Linked DNA regions of Oryctolagus cuniculus. The protein of the gene in region 1 interacts with the protein of each later gene in a biochemical or structural test. Links are inferred from orthologs where the notes say so. Each region holds a gene or a part of one and is shown on either strand. Other genes may lie near its edges.

Evidence for each region.
Region 2: the proteins of CD6 (region 1) and ALCAM form a complex in vitro, tested with the Homo sapiens proteins (4 studies listed by BioGRID and IntAct). The link is inferred for Oryctolagus cuniculus from reciprocal best matches to the Homo sapiens genes CD6 and ALCAM.

Annotation. Positions count from the first base shown.
Region 1 is NC_091432.1:11,620,149-11,631,851, reverse strand, and holds the start of CD6 (T-cell differentiation antigen CD6), read left to right. Parts: upstream 1-5,035; 5' UTR 5,036-5,187; coding exon 5,188-5,248; intron 5,249-11,703.
Region 2 is NC_091435.1:60,577,947-60,588,992, forward strand, and holds part of ALCAM (CD166 antigen), read left to right. Parts: intron 1-654; coding exon 655-767; intron 768-2,190; coding exon 2,191-2,326; intron 2,327-2,441; coding exon 2,442-2,575; intron 2,576-5,322; coding exon 5,323-5,455; intron 5,456-7,285; coding exon 7,286-7,324; intron 7,325-7,609; coding exon 7,610-7,727; intron 7,728-11,046. UniProt on the Homo sapiens protein: Cell adhesion molecule that mediates both heterotypic cell-cell contacts via its interaction with CD6, as well as homotypic cell-cell contacts. Promotes T-cell activation and proliferation via its interactions with CD6.

The DNA.
Region 1 (11,703 bases):
TCTGTCATTCCTATTTGAGTCTTAGACTTTCTTTCTGGGATTATTTTCCTTGTTCTTGAAGAACATCCGTTAGAATTCCCTTAGTGAGAGTCCATTCATTGTAATGGTCTCATTTTTTAAATCTTTTTTGTTTTAAAATTTATTTTATTTATTTGAAAGGCAGAGTTACAGAGAGAGAATGAGAGGGAGTGATAGAGAGAGATCTTTCATCCATTGGTTCACTCCCCAAATGGCCTCAGTGACTGGGCCAGGCCAGGCTAGAGTCAGGAGCCAGGAGCTTCATCCAGGTCTCCCATGTGGGTCAGGGGCCCAAACGCTTGGGCCATCCTCCATTGCTTTCCCAGGTGCATTAGCAGGGAGCTGGATCAGAAGTGGAGTGTCTGGGACTTGAACCAATGCCCATATGAGATGTTGGTGCTGCAGATGGCAGCTTAACCTGTTATGCCACAACACCAGCCCCTCACTTTTTTTTTTTATCTTGTGAAGGTGTCTGTCCTAGTCTTTTATATTTCTGTCACAAAAGACCACAGACAATATAACTTATAGAAACAATGTATTTATCAGATTTCTGAAGGCTTGAGATGTCCAGTGTCAAGCTGGCAGCACCTGGGGAGGCATCCTTTTCTGCTGTGTTAGAACCTAAGGGAGGACACCACGTGATGAGGGCCAGGGAGCACAGGAACCTGCAACTCAGATCTTTCTTCTTTCTCCTCCTCCTCTTATTCTTCTGATTTACTTGTTTGAAAGGCAGAACAACAGAGAGAGAGAGAGAGAGAGAGAGAGAGGGAGAGGGAGAGGGAGAGGGAGAGGGAGAGGGAGAGGGAGAGGGAGAGGGAGAGGGAGAGGGAGAGGGAGAGGGAGAGGGAGAGGGAGAGAGGGAGAGAGAATCTTCCACCTGGTTGTTCATTCCCAAAATGTCTGCAATGGTCAGGGCTGGGCAGGCTGAAGCCAGGGGCCTGGAACTCCATCCAGATCTCCCACATGTAGCAAGGGCCCAAGTACCTGGGCCATCTCCACTGCCTTTTCAGGTACGTTAGCAGGGAGTCGGAATGGAACCAGAGCAGCTGGGACTCAAATTGGTGCTCCAGTATGGGATGCTGGCCTTGCAAGTGGCAGCCTAACCTGCTGTGCCACAACACCGGCTCCTCTCTTCCGCTTCTCACAAAACCACTAATCCTGATGTTGGGGTTCACCCCCATGGCATCATCTAACCCTGATAACCTCCCATAGGCCATGCCTCCATCAACATAAAGGAGATTAAGTTTCCAACACATGAGCTTTGGGGAAGCCATTCTAACTATGGCTTCATCTTTTCAATCTCATTCTTGAAAACTATTCAAGGTAGACAGTCATAGTTCCTCAGCACTTCTTTATTTATTTGACACTTTTCCAGTGAATTTTTGCTAATAGTAAATCATGATTCAGGGTCTCAGAATGGATATCATCATGACTTGGGATCCTCTCCACCACCTGGGAGAAGGACAGAGGAGAGGTGGGAGCTCAGATCTTTCCAGGAAATGTGTCTTCTGTCTGGTGATTGGCCCAGGGACTCGGACACACAATGGCACCATTTGCACTGGCCATCGTCCCCTTTCATGGTCATTGCCTTCTTCAGAAGTGGAAGACCAGGTGGTTCTACCAGCAGTTCGTTGTCTGGTTTGGGTTTGAAGAAGTCTGTAGTTCTTGCTGTGGTCTTGAGATGTCTTCTGCCGTGGTGCCGACTCCTGGAGTGGGTATTGGCAGGGGTTCTCAGAGGCCTAGAAACTCCCCAGAAGTACCTTGCTGTTTGATGTGACCCTTGGCCTCTGAGCTGTCTTCTGGCTTCCGTTGTTGGTATTGGGACAGTCACTGCCAGCACCTTTAATAACTCATCTTCTCTCTACTGATCAGCAGTTTAGCTAAATACTTGGTAAAGGTTTTTTTCTCATTTTCTTGGGTTAGAGGAGCTTCCAGAATCTGAGGACTGCATATTTCACCAACATTGGAAATCTTCCATTTCCTCCTAGAACTCTAAGTGAACATATTCAAGTCCTTGTTCCATCTTCTATGTCTCTTAACCTTTTACACATTTCCCATCTCTTTATCTCTGTGTGCTGTATTCTGAGTGAGTTCTCCAAACCTGTTGTCCAGGTCACTAATTCTCCCTTCAGCTATGTTAATCTGCTGTGTAATCTGTCCACTGAAATTCCAGTTTCAAAACATTATGTTTTTTATAAGTACTACTTGATTTTTTTCAAATCCTTCTGGTCATTTCTTGGTAGTCTCTTGTTATTACCCACTTTATCTCTTTAAACACATGAATCATCCTTATTTTATATTACATACACTATCTTTATAAGTCTAAAGTTTTTAAACATCTGACTCTATGGTTTACTGCTTTGTGCCACTCTCCAAAATTCCTTGTGACTTGACTTTTAGGATTTAATGCTTGCACGTGAGCTCATGTTCCTGGTGACTTTTCTGTGGGAATCCTTACAGGCCTGAGTTTAAGGTGAATTACACCAGGGGTGATTTGCATCTTCCTGCCATGTGCCTAGGGAAATGTCAGGAAAACACCTTCACTTTTTATATTGCTTGTTTGTTGTTGTTGCTGTATGGCATATTGCTGCTTGGTTATTGATGCTGTAAATCCCACTTCCAGACCCATCATGGGCCAGCGAGCAGTTAGGAGCATTTGGAGCTGAAATGTTTTTTCCCTCACCTGCAAGTCATGGCTGAGCCAGGCCAGCTCTGTGTCCACTCCGTTTGTGTTGCTTTGTGGTGGTCTTTGCTGTGGTGGCGGTGGGGGTCTTCTGATTCTGTTTTTGATTTTTCTCGAGCTCTGGGTTTTGTCCAGGCCCGTTGAACTGGAGTTCTTGGCCATGGGGATCAGCAGGCTCCTCAGGGACGCCTTTGCTCCTGCTGTCTTTGGACTTGGACTTGTCACTTCCGACAGCTGATGATTCGTCCTTACTTCTCGCCACCTCAGCGGTGCGTTTTTAAGGATGACGTGAACTGGTTTTGTTGGACTCTCTTTCTCCGGTGTTTTGCATCAGAGACATCTCAGCTTATGCTGTCTATCAAATTGTCAGCAACCATATCTGGCCATCTTTCCCAGCCTCTCTTAATCACGTTTCGCTCAGGACCAGAAGACCGCGTATTGTGGTCGTCTCACGCTGGCTTGTGGTTTGGTCGCTGTGTTTGTGAATTGCATGCTCCTTGCCCACAGAATTCCACACACGGACGTTTGGGTAAATGCAAATGGAATTCCAGCAGGGAACCCAACACACCCGTGCACTGCCCTGTGCTGCTACACACCATCCACTAGGGGGCAGCCTCAGCTGATGGCAGAGACCATTCTGCCCCCTCCGCTCCACAGGGTCTCAGGGTGGGAGGAGCCTGGCTCCCTGTGGCCCCAAAACCTCTTGCATCAAACCACCCCTTGAGCAGGACTCGATGGAGGAGGACCCCCCAATAAGTGAGGAAACAAAGATGAGGATGTGGGGAGTGGACAGGGAGTGGCCGGCCAGGAGAGGTGACCTGAGAGGGGTCACAACCAACCCTCTTCTGGGCTAATTCAGGATTCTGTTTGGACATCTAAAGAATCTATTGGTTCATTTACTCAGCAAAACTTTATTCGGCACCTACTGTATGCCCACCGGGGAATTAAGCACTCTTAGTCCCTGTTTTCTTCCTATGGTGCCCAGCTGCTGCCGTCCACCTAGACAGCTCAGCATTCCCCAGCCTGCCCCGACCCTCTTCCTCCAGCCTTCTCCTTTTGCTGTTCCTTCCAGCCCTGAGCCTCCGCCATCACTGCCTGTTGAATCCCTCCTCATTCCTCCAGGGCTCATCGCCATGCTGGAATCCTGAACCCAGAGGTGAGGGGAGCTGGACCCCTCTGTACCATCTCAGGGGGCAGCCCCCACCTGGGCCAGGGCTCTTTCTCTGCAGAAGGAGGTGAGAGATGTCTCCTCCCAGGCTCACCCCAGTTTACGTTTCTCTGAGGGAGACTTGCGCTCTTGGCTCTCAAAGAAGTGCATCAAGGGGCAGGAACTGTGGTACAGAGGATCAAGCCACCACCTGCAATGCCAGCACCCTACGTGGGCGCCAGTTCAAGTCCCAGCTGCTCCACTTTGATCCAGCTCCCTGCTAATGAGCCTGGGAAAGCACTGGAAGATGGTCTAAGTACTTGGGCCCCTGCCACTCACATGACAGACCCAGATAGAGCTCCAGGCTCCCGGCTTCCACCTGGCCCAGCCCTGGCCATTGCAGACATTTGGAGAGTGAACCAGCAGATAGAAGATTTCTCTGCCTCTCTCTGTCTCTGTCGCTCTCTTCCTTTCAAATAAATGAAATCTGTAAATATGCCTTTCAAGTAAATGAAATCAGTCTTTAAAAAAAAGTGCATTGAGGGGCGGTGTCGCGGCATAGCAGGTTTAGCTGCCACTTGGGACACCTGCATCCCATATCAGAGGCCTGCCTCTGCTGCTGACCCAGCTTCCTCTGAGTGTGCCCAGGGAACAGTAGATGATGGCTTAGGCACTGAGTTTCTGCCGCCCACCCAGGAGACCTGGATTAAGTTCTGGGCTCCTGGCTTTAAGCCTGGCTGTGGTTGGCATCTGGGGACTGAAGCAATGATAGAAGATACCACTTTGCCTCGCCCTCTTTCTCTGTCATTCTGCCTTTCAAAAAAAAAAAAAAAGTGCTTCCTGTTTCCCAGCTACCTTTGAACTAAAGGACATGGTAAACTTGGGATGTGACCCTATGAGAGCAGAATCCATGGAATGGGACATACAATGGATCATTCATTCCCCTTCCAATGTGTGTTAATTGAACATCTACTATGTGCCATGGGACACAGTCCCTCCGTTTCCCTCTTCATTAGAGGATCCTGGGGAAGTGTGTGTCCACACGTGTGTGTCCATGTAGTCTGACTCCATGACTCTTGGGGTTCACTCAGGCCTGGGGCAGAGGCAGCTGCACCCACTCAGCTTGCAGCTGTACCAGCTTGGCTTCCTGGAGACCGAAACCACAAGCAGAAGAGAGAGGCGTGAGAGGCACTCACAGGCTGGGTTTGGTTGTCTGCGTGTCAGAGAGCAGCAGAGAGAAAGGCACACGTAGGACCAGCAAAGGGCAGGGCAGGCAAGAGGGGTGCACCTGCTGGCCCCAGGATGGCGCTTCCCACTGGTGGACACGCATAGTGACAAGATGGCCCCGGACATACGGCTCCTCGTCGTGATGGCTGGATTGCTGAGGGCAGCTTTCCCAGGTAACCAACGCCTTTGTTACCTCTGCTGCTTGTGCTAAGAACCTGGGTCTTGTCCTTGGAGCCCGCCTCCTGGTTGTTTCCCGGAGCCGTTTAGCCAAGACTGTATTCTCGTAGCAGGGGGGCCCTGGCCATGCCAACAGCAGCCAGGGCTGGGAGAGGCACCAGGGCTGTGCCTGGACAGTGTTCCAGTCCCGAGAGGTGCCGGGAGTGAGACGGTGTGAGCACAGTGCTGTGTGTCGCACCAAGGGCTCCCTGGTGCTGCTGCTCTCCAGGGGGAACAGGAACTCCCCCCACGTCTTTCTCGCCACCTTGCAGGAAGCAGCCATTCCCCTTCCCAAAGGCAGGGCCTCTGCTGGTCGGATTTTCAACACCAAAGCTGAGCTCAGGGCTCACCAGCCTTGTGCCAGAAACAGCTCTGGAAGGCCCAGGAGACTGAGTGACTGGCGGCCTCAGCTCCGCCAGCTGGGGTGGTCCAGGGCACATTTAAGTGGCAGGCTCTTGAGGGCCACCCTGCTCTCCCACACCGGGGGGTGGCCAGAGCACACTTGCGACCTGCGCAGGGTGAACAGGTGGCTACAGACCTGTGCTCACCACACATGCAGGCCCCTGTCAAAGAGTATGTAGAAGTCTAACTGGTCAGGGGTGGGCAGAGGTCCAGAGAGCCTGCCCCGGGGGCCAGGAGACTGGTATGGAGACAATACTGTGGACACAGGGAGCCTGGGTCCACCCTGCAGTGGGGAGCCAAGTGCTTTCAGTTTGTAGTGAGGGCAGCCTGGGAGGCCCCATCAGGACGGGACATGGGAAGCAGGTGCACACGCTCCTGCCCAGGGCTCCTCTCTGCCCCTCTCTGCAGGCACGTGCTCTGAGCCTCTGGGCTGCTCTGCTCATAGCTCTGGGAGTGTGAACTGGTGTGCCCCGGGCTCTGTGGGGTCGACCCTCGGCTTCACCTCCTTCCTTGCGCTACCAGAAGTTACCAACCCAGGAGCCCATGGGGACAGACAGACGGGCTCCCTCCCCATCTCCCTTCTCGCCACTCCCTCTGCTCTTCCCTGGGAGGCTCAGGGTTCAGCTGGAGTGGGCAGGCCCTCCAGCGGGAATGAGGGCTGAGCCGGGTGCCGGGCTCCAGGCTCTGCTGGCCTGTGCTGGACCCTGGGGAACCAGCTTTGAATGGCGCCCAAAGGGGAAGCAGGAACCCGGGAGCCCGGGCAGAGCCCCGGCCTGGCCTGCTTCGTTCCTAGCACAACACTCACTTCTTGTTTTTGAAACTGCATTTATAGTTGACTCACTTTTTGTTCCTAATATCAACTGAGTTTTGAAAGGAAACTGTACGTCACGATTGTAACTGGAAAGGTGGTATCATTTGTCCTAAGCAAAAGGGAAGGGATGCATAAAAATAAATGGTGGCAAAAAAAAAAAAAAAAAGCCAGTCTATGTTCTGTCCGGCCCCTCGCTGGGCGCTGCACCGGCATTCAAGGCCCTCGCGGGGGTCGGCAGCTGTGTAAATGCGCCCCAGAAGGAAGGACTTTCCAGGCAGAAGGGGAATTGCACCCCAGGGAGGCTGGGCCCCTGTGCCCAGCCTGAGTCTTTCTTCCCCTACACCTTGACCGCGCAGGCCCAGACCCCAGCAAGCCCCCAGAGGGGAAAGAAAGAAAAAAAGATGGAGGAGAGAGAGGGAGGAGAAGGAGCCTGGAGAATGAGGGCTGGGGTAGGGTTCCAAGGCCTCCGCCTGTGTCTGAAGCCTAGGTCGGGCTGCCTGGCCCTGCCCTGAGGAGCACGGTGTGGGGGAGCCTGGCCCACCTGGGGACTGGCAGACCTGGCCATGGCCCTCCGATGCCGGAGCAGACCTCCCCAAGGAGGTTCCCGGCTCTCTGCCCTGGGCCTCACACGGCTACATCCTTGGCCAGGTGGGCCGGATCCTGGGCTGGCTTCTCCCCAGTGCCTGGTTTGTGTTGGTGAATGACCAGCACTTAGAGGATTGGGTCCAAGTTTCCCTTGGGCTCCCTGTAGGCCTGGGTCCAGGAGCCTCCGCTTCTGTGCCTCTGGGGACGAAGATGTAGGGAGAATGAACTAGAAGTCTTTGATGAGGGAGGGTCCTGCTCTGACTCCCATGTGGCTGTGCTCCTCTCCTTCTTCTGTCCTCAGTTTTCCTGTCAGTGGAATGGGGGTGCTTTGGGGAGATACAGGGGTGCCTCCGGGTCTGACCCTCCAACGCTGTAACAAGGGCTTTTGCACCGGGGCAGTGCCAAGGTCCTGACTCGAATCCCACTGGTGCTGCCATTTGGCGTGGAAACAGGGGCTTGTGGTTGCTTTGAAAGTATTTCAATTCTTTAACAAATTTAAAAACCTGTTTCTTCCTTAACTTGGAAGTTTAGCATACAAATCCCATTTTATTTATCAGCTCAGTAATTTTTAACAATGACTTTCAAGGGGCCTTTGATTAATATTTCAGCAAACCAGTTGGACAGTGTAAGCTTCCTTAAATAATAAATGTTCTCAACAAGGGAAGCCAATTAAGTTCCCTTAGATCTGTGCTGTTCAATGCTGTAGCCCCTGGAAACGTTCATTTAAAACGTCGCGGCTCAAATGGAGATATGTAAAGTGTAAAATGTACAATAGATTGTGAAGGTGAGTTCCAAAAAGAACATAATGTGTCTCATTAATAAACATTAAGTGAATTGCATGTTGAAATGATAATACCTGGGATATTTTATATTAAACAAATTTTATTATGTCCCCTTTTACTTTTTAACAATGTCACTATTGGAAAATTTTAAATTATGTATGAAAAGGCTTCAAAAAGTTCATTGAAAAAATGTGTATTTTGGAAACACCATGCAAGGATTTCTTTTCTTTTCTTTTCTTTTTTTTTTTGGCACCAAATTTGGTTTTCCATAAAACGTTTTGAAATCCCCTCACATGTAGGTTGTGTTGTATTTATATGGGGTAGCACAACCTTTGGCATCCTAAACTCCAATTACAAGTATAATGGATTCCATTCTTGGGGAAACAACCTTCCCAAGGATTTCAGAGAATGCCTTCAGATCTAAAAACTCTGCTATTTAAAAATATGAACTGAAATCAATTACCACATCACATCACATACATGAGAAACTCCACTGGCCAAATATTCCGAAACATCCCAGGTAGGAGCTTGCAAATGTAAGGGGATACTTCAGTGTGCGGAAAATAGAATTAAAAGATAAGCTTATTTGGGTGTGAAAACAAGTTTGAAATTCACACGTAGTTTTGTCAGCACACACATTTTCCGCAGACTTCGGAAGCACCCTTGTAGAAGCATCAGGGGTTTTTGTTTCTTTAGTCATCTTTATTTTCTAAATTCTAATCTCCCTGTGCTGAAAAGTCACTGGCCCACGACCCCTGGATCCAAACTGTATAAACGTAGCCTTCGGTGCCTGCCCTCACCAAGGGGGCATCGCCACTGGCTTGCACTCCATCAAACACACGCGTCACCTTTCCTATTCTGATTTCTTTCCACGTTCTCCACGCCTGGCCAGCTCCATCTTGTAGATGTCTAAGTGACATAGGACTGGTGTCTACACTTTCTGCCTTAGTCTGTTCAAAAAGGTGGGTGACTAACACGCGGAGCCAGCAAGCTCATAGCAGAGGTGGTGGTGGTGGTGAGGATCGGGGCAGCTCCTAAGGTTCATTTAACCAACCACGGATGACTACGGAAGGATCTAGAATGAGTGAGAAACACCTCCACGGCCTCCCTCACTTGGTCTCCGTTCACTGGTGGCACCATCCCCATTTCCTTCCAGGAAAGCTGGGAACTCAGTTGGGCCCAGCTGTTGGGAGTCTGAGGTGAAGGAGCTGGGCTTCTCCTTGGGACAGGGAGGAACCAGCAGGTGACTCTGTCTGAGGCCCTGGGACAGTGGCTGGGAGAAACTCTGACTGCCTGCTAGGAAAAGGCACCTGTCCAGCCGTTCAGCCTCCCAGCCTGGGCCATAAACCTGAAACCGGCCACTTCACTGCCCAGGCCAGGTGCTTGGGCTGCACTGAGCAGACCTCATGGAGCTGGCGTCCCGAGCGCCACCCTTTCCCGCTTCCCAACACCTGTCCCTCTGCCTAGGGTCTCTGGTACATTCTTTAGTGCTGGGTTTCCTGGGCCCCACATTCCAGTCCACCTTCCTGGGGTTTGCTAAAATCAGCCTGGCCATTGCCATTTGGTTTTCTCTTAATCAATGCCTTAAGGTGAAAATGAATTTCTTTTAGAAGAAAGCTTACAGCACTCCCTTAAAGGGAAAGCCACTGAAAATCGCTGTAATAATAACGGTGGAAATAAGACTCACGGAAACAAATGACATCATGAAATCCCAGCTGGTCCCATTACTGCTTTCCCCTGCTGAAAATGGAGGGCTGTGGGTATCAGAGAGGCAGGAGCCCTGGGTCCTGCCGGGAGCTTTCTCCTCCAAGTCATTGGAAAGGCTGATGGGGAAGCAGAGGGGCACAACCTCCTTAGCAGGTGACTTGGTGGCACACAGGGCCATGTCCGTGACCCCGAGTCATCGTGCAGACGTCCGGCTGCGTGCCCTGCTCTTTGGAAATGTGGACGCCCTCCTTACGGGCCCGAGCCAAGAGAGGCTGCATGCTCAGTTTCCTGCTCAGAAAGCCCCGGATCAGGTGGTCCTCTAGCCCCTTGGGCAGCCCCTGGATTTCCCTGGGGAACCTTGAAGTTGGGGAGTGACACCCAAACTCAAGTCGCCGACTCAGCTCTGGGAAACTCAGCACCTGCAGCATGGCTGGCGGAGGCTGGGGGAGAAGGAGCCTTTGACAGGGAGAGGTGGGGGTGCATGTTTGCAGCTCTGGCCCTGCCTTGCTGGGTCATCTCAGTCAAGTGGCCTCCTTTCTCTGGCCCTGGTTTCCTCCCTGGAAAAAGGGGCCCATTGAACACTGAGGACACAGCCTATCCGTTCTGGTACTTTCTGTTCGCTCCTCCAGTAGGGCTGCAGCTGCCAGGAGCAGAGGTCCAGCCACCAGAAATTTAGCACCCTGTCACACCGGATCCTGTGCCATATGGGATACCGTGTTGCATGGACTAGCATCACAGCTCCAGCCAGCACCCTGCCATGTGGATTCAGAGACCCTGCAGTCAGGCAGACTCGGGCACCCCACTCCAGCTCAGCACAGGTTGTCCCTGTGCCTGCGTGCTAGAACTGAAAACATCTAGCTCACCAACACGTGGTACTTTACTTTATTTGTATAACATATCTGAAAATAAGCAAACAAAATACAGTGCTCAGAAACTTGAGAGTATAATGTCATGTGGCATGCCAAAGATAATCCCTTGTATTTAATATAGGATCTGATGGTTAACGTAGCAATGTTCGCACGATGAGCTCAGTTACCCACATGACAACCCCATTTCATAGATGAGGAAGTGGAGGTTTAGCGAGGCTCAAAGACTTGTCCTAAATCTCTACTAGACTTGGGCGGGCAGCCCAGGGGTCTTTCCTCCTTGAAAGAGTGACCCCACCTGGCTGCAGGCTGGCTTCCATCCTGGTCTGAGGTTTCTCCCTCAACGCCACCTCTCAGGGTTGCAGCCCCATCACTGCGTCCCAGGACAGCCTGGAGGTTCCTCTGAGGTCCTGGTGTCCCCCGGAAGGCATCTGAGTGACAGACACCTTCCTCCTTATGGCACAGCCTCATGGGGCTGCCCGGCAGGTGTCGTGCACATCAGGGTCAAGAATGAAGAAAAAGTTGCAGTGGCACCGTGTTCCATGGGAAAGCTGGCAGGCTCTGTCAGCTCACATCTATTCAGCACCTGCTGTATGCCATGTCCTGTGCTGGCATTGAGCTACAAGATGTGGAGGCTTGCCCTTGAACACTTTCTAGTGTTGTCAGGAAGGTGCTGGAACACACCAGGGTCAGCCTGGGGTAGGTGTGACAGCAACAGGTATAATCCAACGATGACTGTTAACGACCATCTGGTGCACGGGACTTGCCATACTTGAAGCTCAGTGTGGAGCACATAGCCTGTCCCACTCTGACAACACTGGGAAAATCACCCCATTTCATGGTCAGGGGAAACAGGCTCAGAAAGCATTGTCCATAGCGGAGGCTAATGCTTTTTTAAAGATTTGTTTATTTGAAAGGCAGAGTTATAGCAAGAAAGATGGAGACAGGGAAAGAAGGAGGGAGGCGCCAGGGAGAGCGAGAGTAATCTACCAGCCGGCTTGGGGCTCCATCCTAGCTGTGCCTGGCCAAAGCCAGGAGCTCAGGGCCCCATCTGGTTCTTCCTGGGGCCCTGGCACATTCTCCACTGCCTACCCAGGCACATTATCAGGGAGCTGGATTGAAAGTGGAGCAGCCAGGACTCAAACTGGAGCTCCGACACAGGATGCTGGCATCACAGGTGGCGGCCGGCCCACTGCACCGTAATGCTGTTTCGATGCTGACTTTAAATCCATGTTGTTAAGTCTCCAAAATCCATGTTC
Region 2 (11,046 bases), on another chromosome or scaffold:
TTGGATTTTCTACATACAGATCATACTAAGGTAGTAAGGTTTTTATTATTTGCCATCTGAAAGATCATATATCTTCCAATGTGTTTATACTATTTTTTAAAAAATGGTATCTAGTGACAGTATACTTAGCAAGAAATCTTACAAAATTTCAACTATGTGAGAAATGAAATAGCATTTTTTAAAAAAAAAACTACTTTAGTCAATTTTCTTTGAGGGAACACCTAAACTATCTATGCTTTTCCAGTTTATAATGATGGATAACTGTACTTGATTTTCTCACCTTTGTACCATCTCTTTTATAATATTTATTTAGTCATCATTTTTATTTTCTTTCAAAAGTGATTTAAGAATTTTTTCCTTAAGGTAATAGACCTTAGGGGATCATTTATATGCACTCAAAACATCAGTGGTATTAACTGCAACTTGATGCATGATCAATTACATTGCTAATTCACTTGTCCAAGTTGGTCTCAAAGCTGGCTCAAAACACTAAGATGATTATGCTTCAGTTCATTTATTTCAGTCACATAAATCAGGTCTGAACTTTCAAGTGCAGTTATAAGGTGTTTTTTTTTTCATCTTTTCATCTCCAGTGTATTTTGACTATCTTACTTTCTTGGAGTTTGCGTTTCAAGCAGATTTTCTGCTTCACAGATTTGGATTTGTCTTTAAACCCAAGTGGGGAAGTGACCAAGCAGATTGGTGATTCCCTGCCTGTGTCATGCACAATATCTGCAAGTAGGAATGCAACCGTGGTGTGGATGAAAGTAAGTGATATTTTTGGTACTGTCCTACTGTTTGAGCTGATTTCTTTGTTATATTATATTCATATATATATTCACTGATAACAGGTTTATATACCCACACTTAGGCTGTCTCTTTTTCTTTGTAATAATACAAACCAAATTACACAAAAACTTTAGAGGTACTCAGAAACAGTGTGGCATCCATGACCGATGCTCCAAAACTTAATTTGGAGCATTATTTTAACTATATATGTGTGCTAAGTGATTTTACACATGCACGTACACACACACACACACACACACACATACAGCTATGTACTTTGGAGATTAACAATTTACAATGTGTTTTTTACTCACATTATTCTCAAATGAGCTGTTTGAAGGCTACTTATATGCATGGATTTCAAATATTTTTTGCAAAATAAATATATTTTAATTCCACTTTACATGAAATTTCATTTTTGTTAATTGATGGGGAAAGGGGTAAATATTCTAGTAGACAAAAACCATCTAATCTTAGGATTTCTTAGTTTTCTATTTAGAGGTTCAATTCCTAGTAAAATAGAATTTTTTCTGTATTTCAGATGATATTTGAAGTTAAATGTTATGTTTTCTTTGTTCATATACCTTAGTATAATAATTTGTTAAGAGTTTCTTTAAAAAAATCAGTCTTCCATGGAGTTGAAGCACAGTGAGTTAAGCCACTGCATGGGATGCTCGCTTCTCATATTTTATTTGGATCCTAGCTACTCCACACTTCCTATCCAGCTTCCTGCTCATGTACTTGAGAGGTCACAGATAATGGCTCAAGTACTTGGGTTTCTGTCATGCACATGGGAGAGTTCCTTGCCTAGCTTCAAACTGACCTAGCCCTGGCTGGTTTTGGCATCTGGGGAATAAGCTAGCAAATGGAAGCTCGCTCTCTCTCTGTGTCTGTATTTCTCCCTCTCTCTGACACTGTACATTTTAAACAAATAAATCTTAAAACAAACATCCATTCTTTTCATAATTGTCATGGCTCTGTAATGGATCCCCTATATTGATAACAGTTCTGATGCAGTAACTTGAAAATAAATATACCCATTGCTGAAATCTCCATCAACTGCAATTAGCAGGTATCCTCAATTGAGAACTTCCCTTAATAGAAACCATTGCATTATTCATATAATTAAGTTTGCATAGTAACTCAATATGGTAAGTTATTACCCCATTTCATTAACAAAGAAAACTAAGTCACCAAATTGTATGTACTTGTTCCAGATTGCAAATTTAGTAATAGAAGAGACTGAAATAAAATTCCAATATGTCTCACTCCAAAACTACAAAGGAAAAAGGAAATCTATATTTGGAAACCTCTGAAGTTAAGAAAATTTTTCAGTAGACCCAAAATAATAATTTTAGTCTTATCATGCCTTGTGAAATACTTGACTTTTTACTTAATCAGGACAACATCAAGCTTCGATCTAGCCCATCGTTTTCCAGTCTTCAGTATCAGGATGCTGGAAACTATGTCTGTGAAACTGCTCTACAAGAAGTTGAAGGCCTGAAGAAAAGAGAGTCCCTGACTCTCATTGTAGAAGGTAAATGAGATACTTCTCACCAATGCAGATTTTTCTTTGAGGAAAAAAAAAAAAAAAGATGGTCTCTTTTATGATAATGGTTCAACATTAAACTTTAATTGTAATAATATTCTAGGAAAACCTCAAATCAAAATGACAAAGAAAACTGATCCCAGTGGACTATCTAAAACAATAATCTGCCACGTAGAGGGTTTTCCAAAGCCAGCTATACAGTGGACCATTACTGGCAGTGGAAGCGTCATAAACCAAGTAAGTATTTGTCTTCTGTTCTATGCTGTACTTGGTCCATGGAGAGTTTTTTTAGGTACCTAAACTACATAAAGGTTTGTTGCCACTTGAAATTTGCAGTGTATTCTCAGGGGAAGCTCTTGCTAACTTTTTAATTTTCCCAAAGGAAGAACATGACTCAAAGAGAAATTTTAAATTCCAGGGTCATGGAAAATGAAAGAAATATTATCTGTTTTTAAAGGAATGTAAATCTGATGTTGTTCCATGGTTGTTAACTTCTGAAATATTCAGGCATAAAGGTATATACTTTTCTACATCATAAATTGACACATAGGAATATAAGTAGACTTCATTAGTTTGCTTGCTGAAGCACATAAAGGAATATTTCTTCTTGAAACTGGGCCTTGAGTGTGGGAAAAGTACAGTAATTGCTTGTGCACATTTGTTTTGATTTGCCTATGATTGAACTCAGTTCAGAATAAAGAAAGTGTCCTGTTCTGAACAAGAGGGTTGAACCAAACTTTAATATCTTTACCCCTCATGGGCATTTTCATAATAGCAAAGGGCTAAGAACATATGAATGTATCAGTAATTTTCTACTAATATTAAGTCTTTGACACAAAAAGAAAAGAAAAAAAAAAGGTGAGGATGTGCCCTGTCACCAGGTGTTCAGAACTATAATCCTACAACATTTCCAATTTGCTTGTGTTACAAACCTACCTGTAAATTCCATTTTCTCCACACAATCTTCACATCACCTCTTCTCAGGAGGAATAATTAAAGACTTTACCAGCACCTAGAGGTGCCATTTGATTATTTGAATCTTCCATTCTGCCTTCCTCCCAGCTTTGGACCCAGTTGAAATTTGAGAAGATGTCTATAAACAAACACCTGCAAAATAATTTTAAGTCAAAATCTCCACTCATCCTCTACCAGGGAAGTCAGACCACAGTTCACCTTAGGCAACGTAGCTTTGCACAGCAATGTGGATTTTGGCTCATTCCCCTATGGATGATGCATTTCTGTTGGCATGATTTTGGGTATGGGACACCCCTGTAGCAAATGACTCCTGATTTGTTTAAGTATGATGGGACACACAGCTGAGAGGCCATGCCAGAGAAGAGCACAGAGGCTCTGGACCCTTTCAACTTAAGGAAATGCAGTTTCTTGATTCAGAATAAAGATCTAAACCTCTGGAATTGCTGACAACCTATGAAGCTATTTTATATCATCAAATGCTAAAAACATAGAAATGTTTCTTTTCTACTCTCTCCTTTTTGCTCTTTAGTTCAGTTAAGTAATAAGTGCAGTAAAACGAAACCTTCAGGTACTAATAATACAAGAATAAGAACTAGAAAAATAAGCACATAGTGAATGTCTGATGAATGAAAGGATACAAAGATTTAAAAGGCTATCCTGGAAATGAAAAAATGTACTTTATTAGAGCAAGGTAAAAAAAAACAGGGTCTTAATGAGAAAACCCTATGAAAAATCCTAGTAGGTAGGATAAAAGTAGCAGATGAATTTCCTATGAGCCAGAAATAATAATTCCATTTTTCTTTGTCAAGGAGAAGGATTGATTCTGACCCGTTAGGTGATATGTTGTTTTTCTTTTCTAAGTTTGTGCTGATCAATCCACAATCTTTTATTTGTTCATTCCTCAAACACATGCCAAATCTATTATTTTACAACTAGGATGTATCTTTACCCTTCCTCCACCCCCAGGAACTGGAAGAAATCCCGCCTTTGTCCTTAAGGTACTTAGAGTATAATTAAGGAAAAAGCAAGCAGAGAGCTATCTAGGACATGATGTGTAAAAATGACTGAGAAAATAATATATAGTATATATTAGCTTCAGTCATGTTGAATTTTGGAGTCAAATTCTAGGAGATGAGATTAAAGTCTATGGTTTCTTATATTTGAAGGATTTAAATACAATGATTGCCCTTGTTAATATCTCACAAAATTCAGACTTAGAAGTAACTAAAAAAAGAGTCCATCATCTGTATTTAGCCCAAAAAAATCTAGAAAACAAAGATTTTATTTACCAATGAACAATCATACATACATATATATGCACTTAGATGTAGTGGTTTAAGGTAAAGGAATTAACTCCTGCAAGCAGAAGCAGTTTCCAAATTCATAATTAAATTCATACGTTTATTGAGGGAAAGAGGTGATTAGATCTTAACTGCTTAATTATTTTGAGATGAATATCATCATGCCAAAATGGTGACTACACCTGCATATCTATTGAAAGTTTAATTTAACATTAGAAGTCACAATTGAAAAAAAAAAAAAGAAACCCCATTGTGGATTACTAGTCTTTTTCTTACCTGCTGTAGATATAGGCATACAATCCTTTCTTTTTTTTTTAATATTTTCTTTATTTATTTGAGAGGTAGAGTTATAGACAGTGAGAGGTAGAGACAGAGAGAAAGGTCTTCCTTCCGTTAGTTCACTCCCCAGATGGCCGCAATAGCCAGAGCTGCACCGATCTGAAGCCAGGATCCAGGTGCTTCCTCTGGTCTCCCATGCAGGTGCAGGGGCCCAAGCACTTGGGCCATCTTCCACTGCTTTCCCAGGCCATAGCAGAGAGCTGGATTGGAAGAGGGACAGCCGGGACTAGAACTGGCGCCCTACCTTACACATACTCACGAACAGTAGCATGTACTAAAGAACCACAACTGTCCTATTTCATCCCTTATTATTCTTTCCCATGTTTTTCTATTTTCATTTCTAAACCCATCTTCCTTTTTTTTTTCCAGACAGAGGAATCCCCTTATATCAATGGCAGGTATTATAGTAAAATTATCATTTCCCCTGAAGAGAATGTTACTTTAACTTGCGCAGCAGAAAACCAACTGGAGAGAACAGTAAACTCCTTGAATGTCTCTGCTAGTGAGTATTTCATTTCTGGCATTAAAAAGTAAGAAAAGTTGAAGTTATTCTTCATTAGTTTAAAATCTTCAGTTCCATCTTCCTGTACTGCATTATGGTAAGTTTTATTTATTTATTTTACATTTGGTATCATCATCATGAGGTTATTTTTTCTTTTTTCCTGGTTTCCATACTTGTATTATCCTTGTCTTGACAGTTAAATCATTTCATGTTTTATGAATCAGAGACTTTATCTAATCAAAGAATATTTCCCAAGAGCAGCAGAAAATAAGAAGGAAAGAAGTTGCTCTTTTTTAATACATGTTTTGTGTTCAGTGCAGAGTTAAGTCAGTCAATCATAAAATATTCTTGTAATAGTTCTAAATTTAGTAAATTTTAATTCCCTTTAATCTGTTATTTTGCACTCCACTTTTTGGTGGTGTTCTCCTACTCTTATTTTGAATAGGAATGTCAAAAACTTCATCATTCCACATAGTAATAGTAGAACTGATAGAATTCATGAAATTTGGCCTCAAAAATTGTTCCTTTTGTTATATCATATTTGAATCATGGCCAAAAATCAGAAAAAAATGATACTAACTTAGATAAGTTAAAAAAAATAATTGCTGAAATCAGTGTTACAAATATTTTCCAACAGCAGCTTCTGCTGAAAACAATTGCTATTTAATATGAAATTATTTTTCATCTTCATTTCTGCTGTTGTTCCTAGTGCTATGTCCACTTTAAATCAGGACTGTCCTAGAATGAGGTTCAATCTGGACAGGCTGTTGACTGACCCATCAAAATTTCATTCTTCAGTCAATCAGAATCCTGAATGTCACATCAGCAAGCTATGGATGCACTGTTAATTGCCTAAAGATGATGATCCTTAATAGATTATAAGTGCACTATAAAGGCCTGATGGATTGACAGGAGAAAAGAACCAAATTTAATTCTAAAATAGGAGCATTGACTTTTCACAATGCAATTCCACAAGTGTTGATTTGCCATTCCTAGAAGAGAACCTATCCGTTCTTCCTGAACAAAAGTCTCTCTTTTTATTCTAAGCCATTGAATGATGTGCTTTAGTTTTCTAGGTCTTGTAGAGCTTGATCAACATTTAATACATTTTCAAATTCAATGAGCACCTCCTGAGATTACAATTTAGTATATATGAGGAGGAATCTGAGAATATGATTTATATCAAACATCACAGCAGATTTGATGTAGGGCCATGCAATCTGAAAATATTCATATAGTTTAATATTAGATGATAATCAGCAATAGCAGTGATTCTTAAAATGAGCCAAGAGCTTGGCACTATCAGAGACATTTGGAAGGCTCTTGAAATCACTGCATATTTGCTTGGTAATCTCTAAGGCATCCTCAGTTTTAACTTCAATCTCAGTTGCTGTATGAACATCTCTATGATAGGTTCTTGGCAATAAAAAATGAAAATGATTTCTCCTATATTGACGCAAGTAAAAGTGAGGAACACCAAATCATAGACTTCTTTGGTGCCAACTTGTTTCTCTTATTAAAGAAGTACTATTAAAAGGTGATAGATAGTGGAAAAATTAATATGGCTTTCATATTAACACTATAGCTTGTCAGTTGTAAAATTTTCTATAATAGATTAATACGTTCACAATTTTAACTACTTTTTTTCCTTAAAAATTAATTTCTTTGCAGGGAATTTCATGTTCTGTTAATTGTGATTTTTTTTTACCCTTAGCTCTAGAATAGATATTTTATCTTTGACTACTATAACATCATACTATAATGGTAAAGGTGACTTTCATATATCAACAAATTTTGTTTTTAATTTCATATTAACATTTTTCATTTCAGTAAGTATTCCAGAACACGATGAGGCAGACGAGATAAGTGGTAGGTACTATGCTGCCGACTTCTTCCTTAATTATCAGCTCAAGATTTATGAAGTGTCATTGGACAAGTAATTTTCCCAGCTGTCCTTAATTTCAACTTGAATTAAAATACAAAATGAGACAAGATAGTAAGAATGCTAAAATTTTGCCCTTTAAAATCACAAGTTTGCATGTTAATCACAGTAGTGAGCCTTAGTCACTTTTAATAAGTAATAACTAGATTGATTTATTTTTTCAAATTCTTGGCATTTTCTGTAATTGCATGGAATTTTCTTTTTTGTTATAGATGAAAACAGAGAAAAGGTGAATGATCAAGCAAAACTAATTGTGGGAATTGTTGTTGGTCTCCTCCTTGCTGCTCTTGTTGCTGGTGTCGTCTACTGGCTATACATGAAGAAATCAAAGTAAGTTGTGAAAAATAATCTTCATTGTTTACTGAATTTTATTGAGAGATAATACTGTGTATCAATTATCTTCACTCCAGCTGTGCTTATAATTTCTATAGTAAGAAAGGTATATTCCCCAAATCAGAGTGATCATATTTTATTTCACCTCACAGGAACTTCATTGTCAACATCAGAGACATGGTCTGGGGTTTGAGTTCACATGTGTCTCTTTAATTTTCCAAGCCATTAGTCTGAGTCCAACTACCAGAGATTTTCTATGCATAATTATGTAGATATTTTAAAAGCATGTACTGGCTAAAAATCACATATCCTAAATTTTTTGGTTAAGATTGGCAAAGATTAATTGAAAGTGGTTAATACCTATTGTAGAGACTTTCTAGGTGTCATTACATGGACAACAGCCATGGAATAAAACTGGCCAGGAATAAAACTACTAATAACATTGGAGGATCTTGTCATTGCTACCTCATTCTATTTACTTGAGTTTGCTCCAAATGAGAATCTATTTCAGAGAGACATACATGATTATTTTGGCTTAAAATTAAAAAAAAAAAAAACTGGCCGGCGCCGCGGCTCACTAGGCTAATCCTCCGCCTAGCGGCGCCGGCACACCGGGTTCTAGTCCCAGTCGGGGCTCCGGATTCTGTCCCGGTTGCCCCTCTTCCAGGCCAGCCCTCTGCTGTGGCCAGGGAGTGCAGTGGAGGATGGCCCAGGTGCTTGGGCCCTGCACCCCATGGGAGACCAGGAAAAGCACCTGGCTCCTGGCTCCTGCCATCGGATCAGCGCGCTGCGCCGGCCGCAGCGCGCCGGCCGCGGCGGCCATTGGAGGGTGAACCAACGGCAAAGGAAGACCTTTCTCTCTGTCTCTCTCTCTCACTGTCCACTCTGCCTGTCGAAATAAAAAAAAAAAAAAAAAAAAAAACTGATTAGACAAAGTACAAAGATTACTTTTAAAATGCCTGTGATGGTGTGTGATTGAAAACTAATAGGAGCAAGTGTTTGGTTTAGGACTTAATCTACGGTTGGGATGCCTATCCTATATTGGAGTAGGTTGGTTTCAAATCCCAGTTCTGCTCCTAATTTCAGCTTCCTGCTATTGTGTACAGTGGGAGCAGGTGGCTGATGGCTCTAGTAATTGGGTCCCTGTCACCCACGTGGTCACCCTAGATTGAGTTCCCAATCCCTAGCTTTTGTCAGGCTCAGCTTCTGCTTCTGCAAGCATTTTGGGAGTGAACTAGGGGATGAGAATCTGTGAACTCTCCCTCTCTCTTTCTCCCTCCCTCTCAGAATTTTAAAGAGTAATCAGTTAAAAGTATTAGTCATGTAATACTATATAGTATGAACCTTATCATCATCTAAGAATGATTTATAATGAAATTTTGATGAACCAGTGAAGATTTTTAATATACACACATGCCTAATACTTCTCCTTGCCTCCTCAATCCTAGCTTCAGATGTCATTGCACAGGAAAGGGTTTCTAGCATTTGCAATTTTTTAAAAGTCACATTAGTGATTCTGTGGCAATATTTAGATTCCAAACATGGATTTTAACCTCCCTTATCTTATAAATGAGAAAATTGATATTTGCAGTGAGATGTTTATAACTAGTGGCGACTTTGTACTTAATTACATATTTTTCTTTTGTTGATATATCCCCTTTAAGAGCCTCAGGAAAGTTAACTTAAAATAAAATTAGAAGAAAAAGAAGGCTCCAAAGAGGATCCATAATCTCACCCTAAAAAGATGTTGATTCCAATAAAGCAGTAGCTCAGCAATTTTAGAGTCACGTAACAAGAAAGGAATGTATTGAGCTCATTTGTTCTCATAGCAGATCCGTGAAGCAGATACAATCAATATATATGTTTTCACACTTGAAAAATCTGAGGCAGAGAATGGTTACATGACTTGCCTTTTTAAAAAAAAATATTTATTTTATTTATTTGAAAGACAGAGTTACTAAGAGAGATAGAGACAGACACACAGAGAGTTGTCTTCTGTCTGCTTGTTCACTCCCCAAATGGCTGCAATGGCCAGAACTGAGCTGATCTGAAGCCAGGAGCCAGGAGCTTGTGGATGCAGGGTCCCAAGGACTTGGGCCATCCTCTGCTGCTTTCCCAGGAACATTAGCAGAGAGTGGGACCGGAAGTGGAGCAGCCTGGAATCAAACTGGAGCCCGTATGGGATGCTGGTGCTGCAGGCTGGGCTTTTCCCCACTGCACCAAGCAGTGGCCCCAAGGTTACACCGTTTGCAATGAACTGATTATTATTTGATTGAATGTAGTAATGTTGAGAATCTTTGCACTTAATCACTGGGCCTCTCTTTTCATGTATAATTTTTTTTTATTGTGTGCTGTGACCAATGTTCATGATGTCCATCCTCACACTAGGGAACAGCCACTCCTGATCTTGCATGTCACTCCCCAGTCTTGAAAAGACTCCACCAATACTTAGTGTACTATTCAGGCTTCCCCAGAGTCAGACCAACGTGCACACACACGTGTGTGTGTCTGTCTGTATTTGTGTGCAAAGAAAGATGTATTATAAGGAATAGACTTATGTGATTATGGAAGTTGAGAAGTCCCAACATCTATCTTCAGAAAGCCAAAGACCCAGGAGAGCTGATATGCAGTTCCTTTCTTTATGCAAAACCTTGAGAGCCAGGAGAGTCAATGTTAATTCCAATCTGAAACCCAGCAGGATGGAGTCTCATCAGAGGCCAATGTTTTAGTCCAAGTCTTTAAGGCAGTGAAAAAACAGCTCAAGTAATTAGGCAGGAGTTCCCTCTTACTAAGCCTTTTTCTTCCATTTAGACCTTCAATAGATTGAGTGAGGACCAGCCATTTATGGATAGACAATCTGCTTTACTTACTCTTTCTATTCAAATATTAATCTCATCCAGAAGCAGCGTCATAGCCACAGCCAGAATAGTGTTTGACTGGATCTCTGGATACCATGAGGCTCAGTCAAGTTGACACATAGTTAACTGTCACACTTGGCAAAAAACATGTTCTATTTCTCACTGAACATTTTACCTACAAACACATCATATGCATTTGTGTCCATGTTGTCTATAGAAAATTTAGAAGTCCTATACCATGTATAGGAAGGAAATATGGTTCCTACAGCCAATTATCTATTACCAAAAATTCTCATTTTGTGTGTAGAAGTTTCCTGATGACCAAAATCCAGTCCACTTGTGTAATACATCATAAGGCATTTACAAATATGACCACTTTGTGCTTTAGGGTATATCCATTTTATGAGGGCTTCTGATGTACTACAACAGTGATTTTGTTTCTTAAGAGAATGAAAATG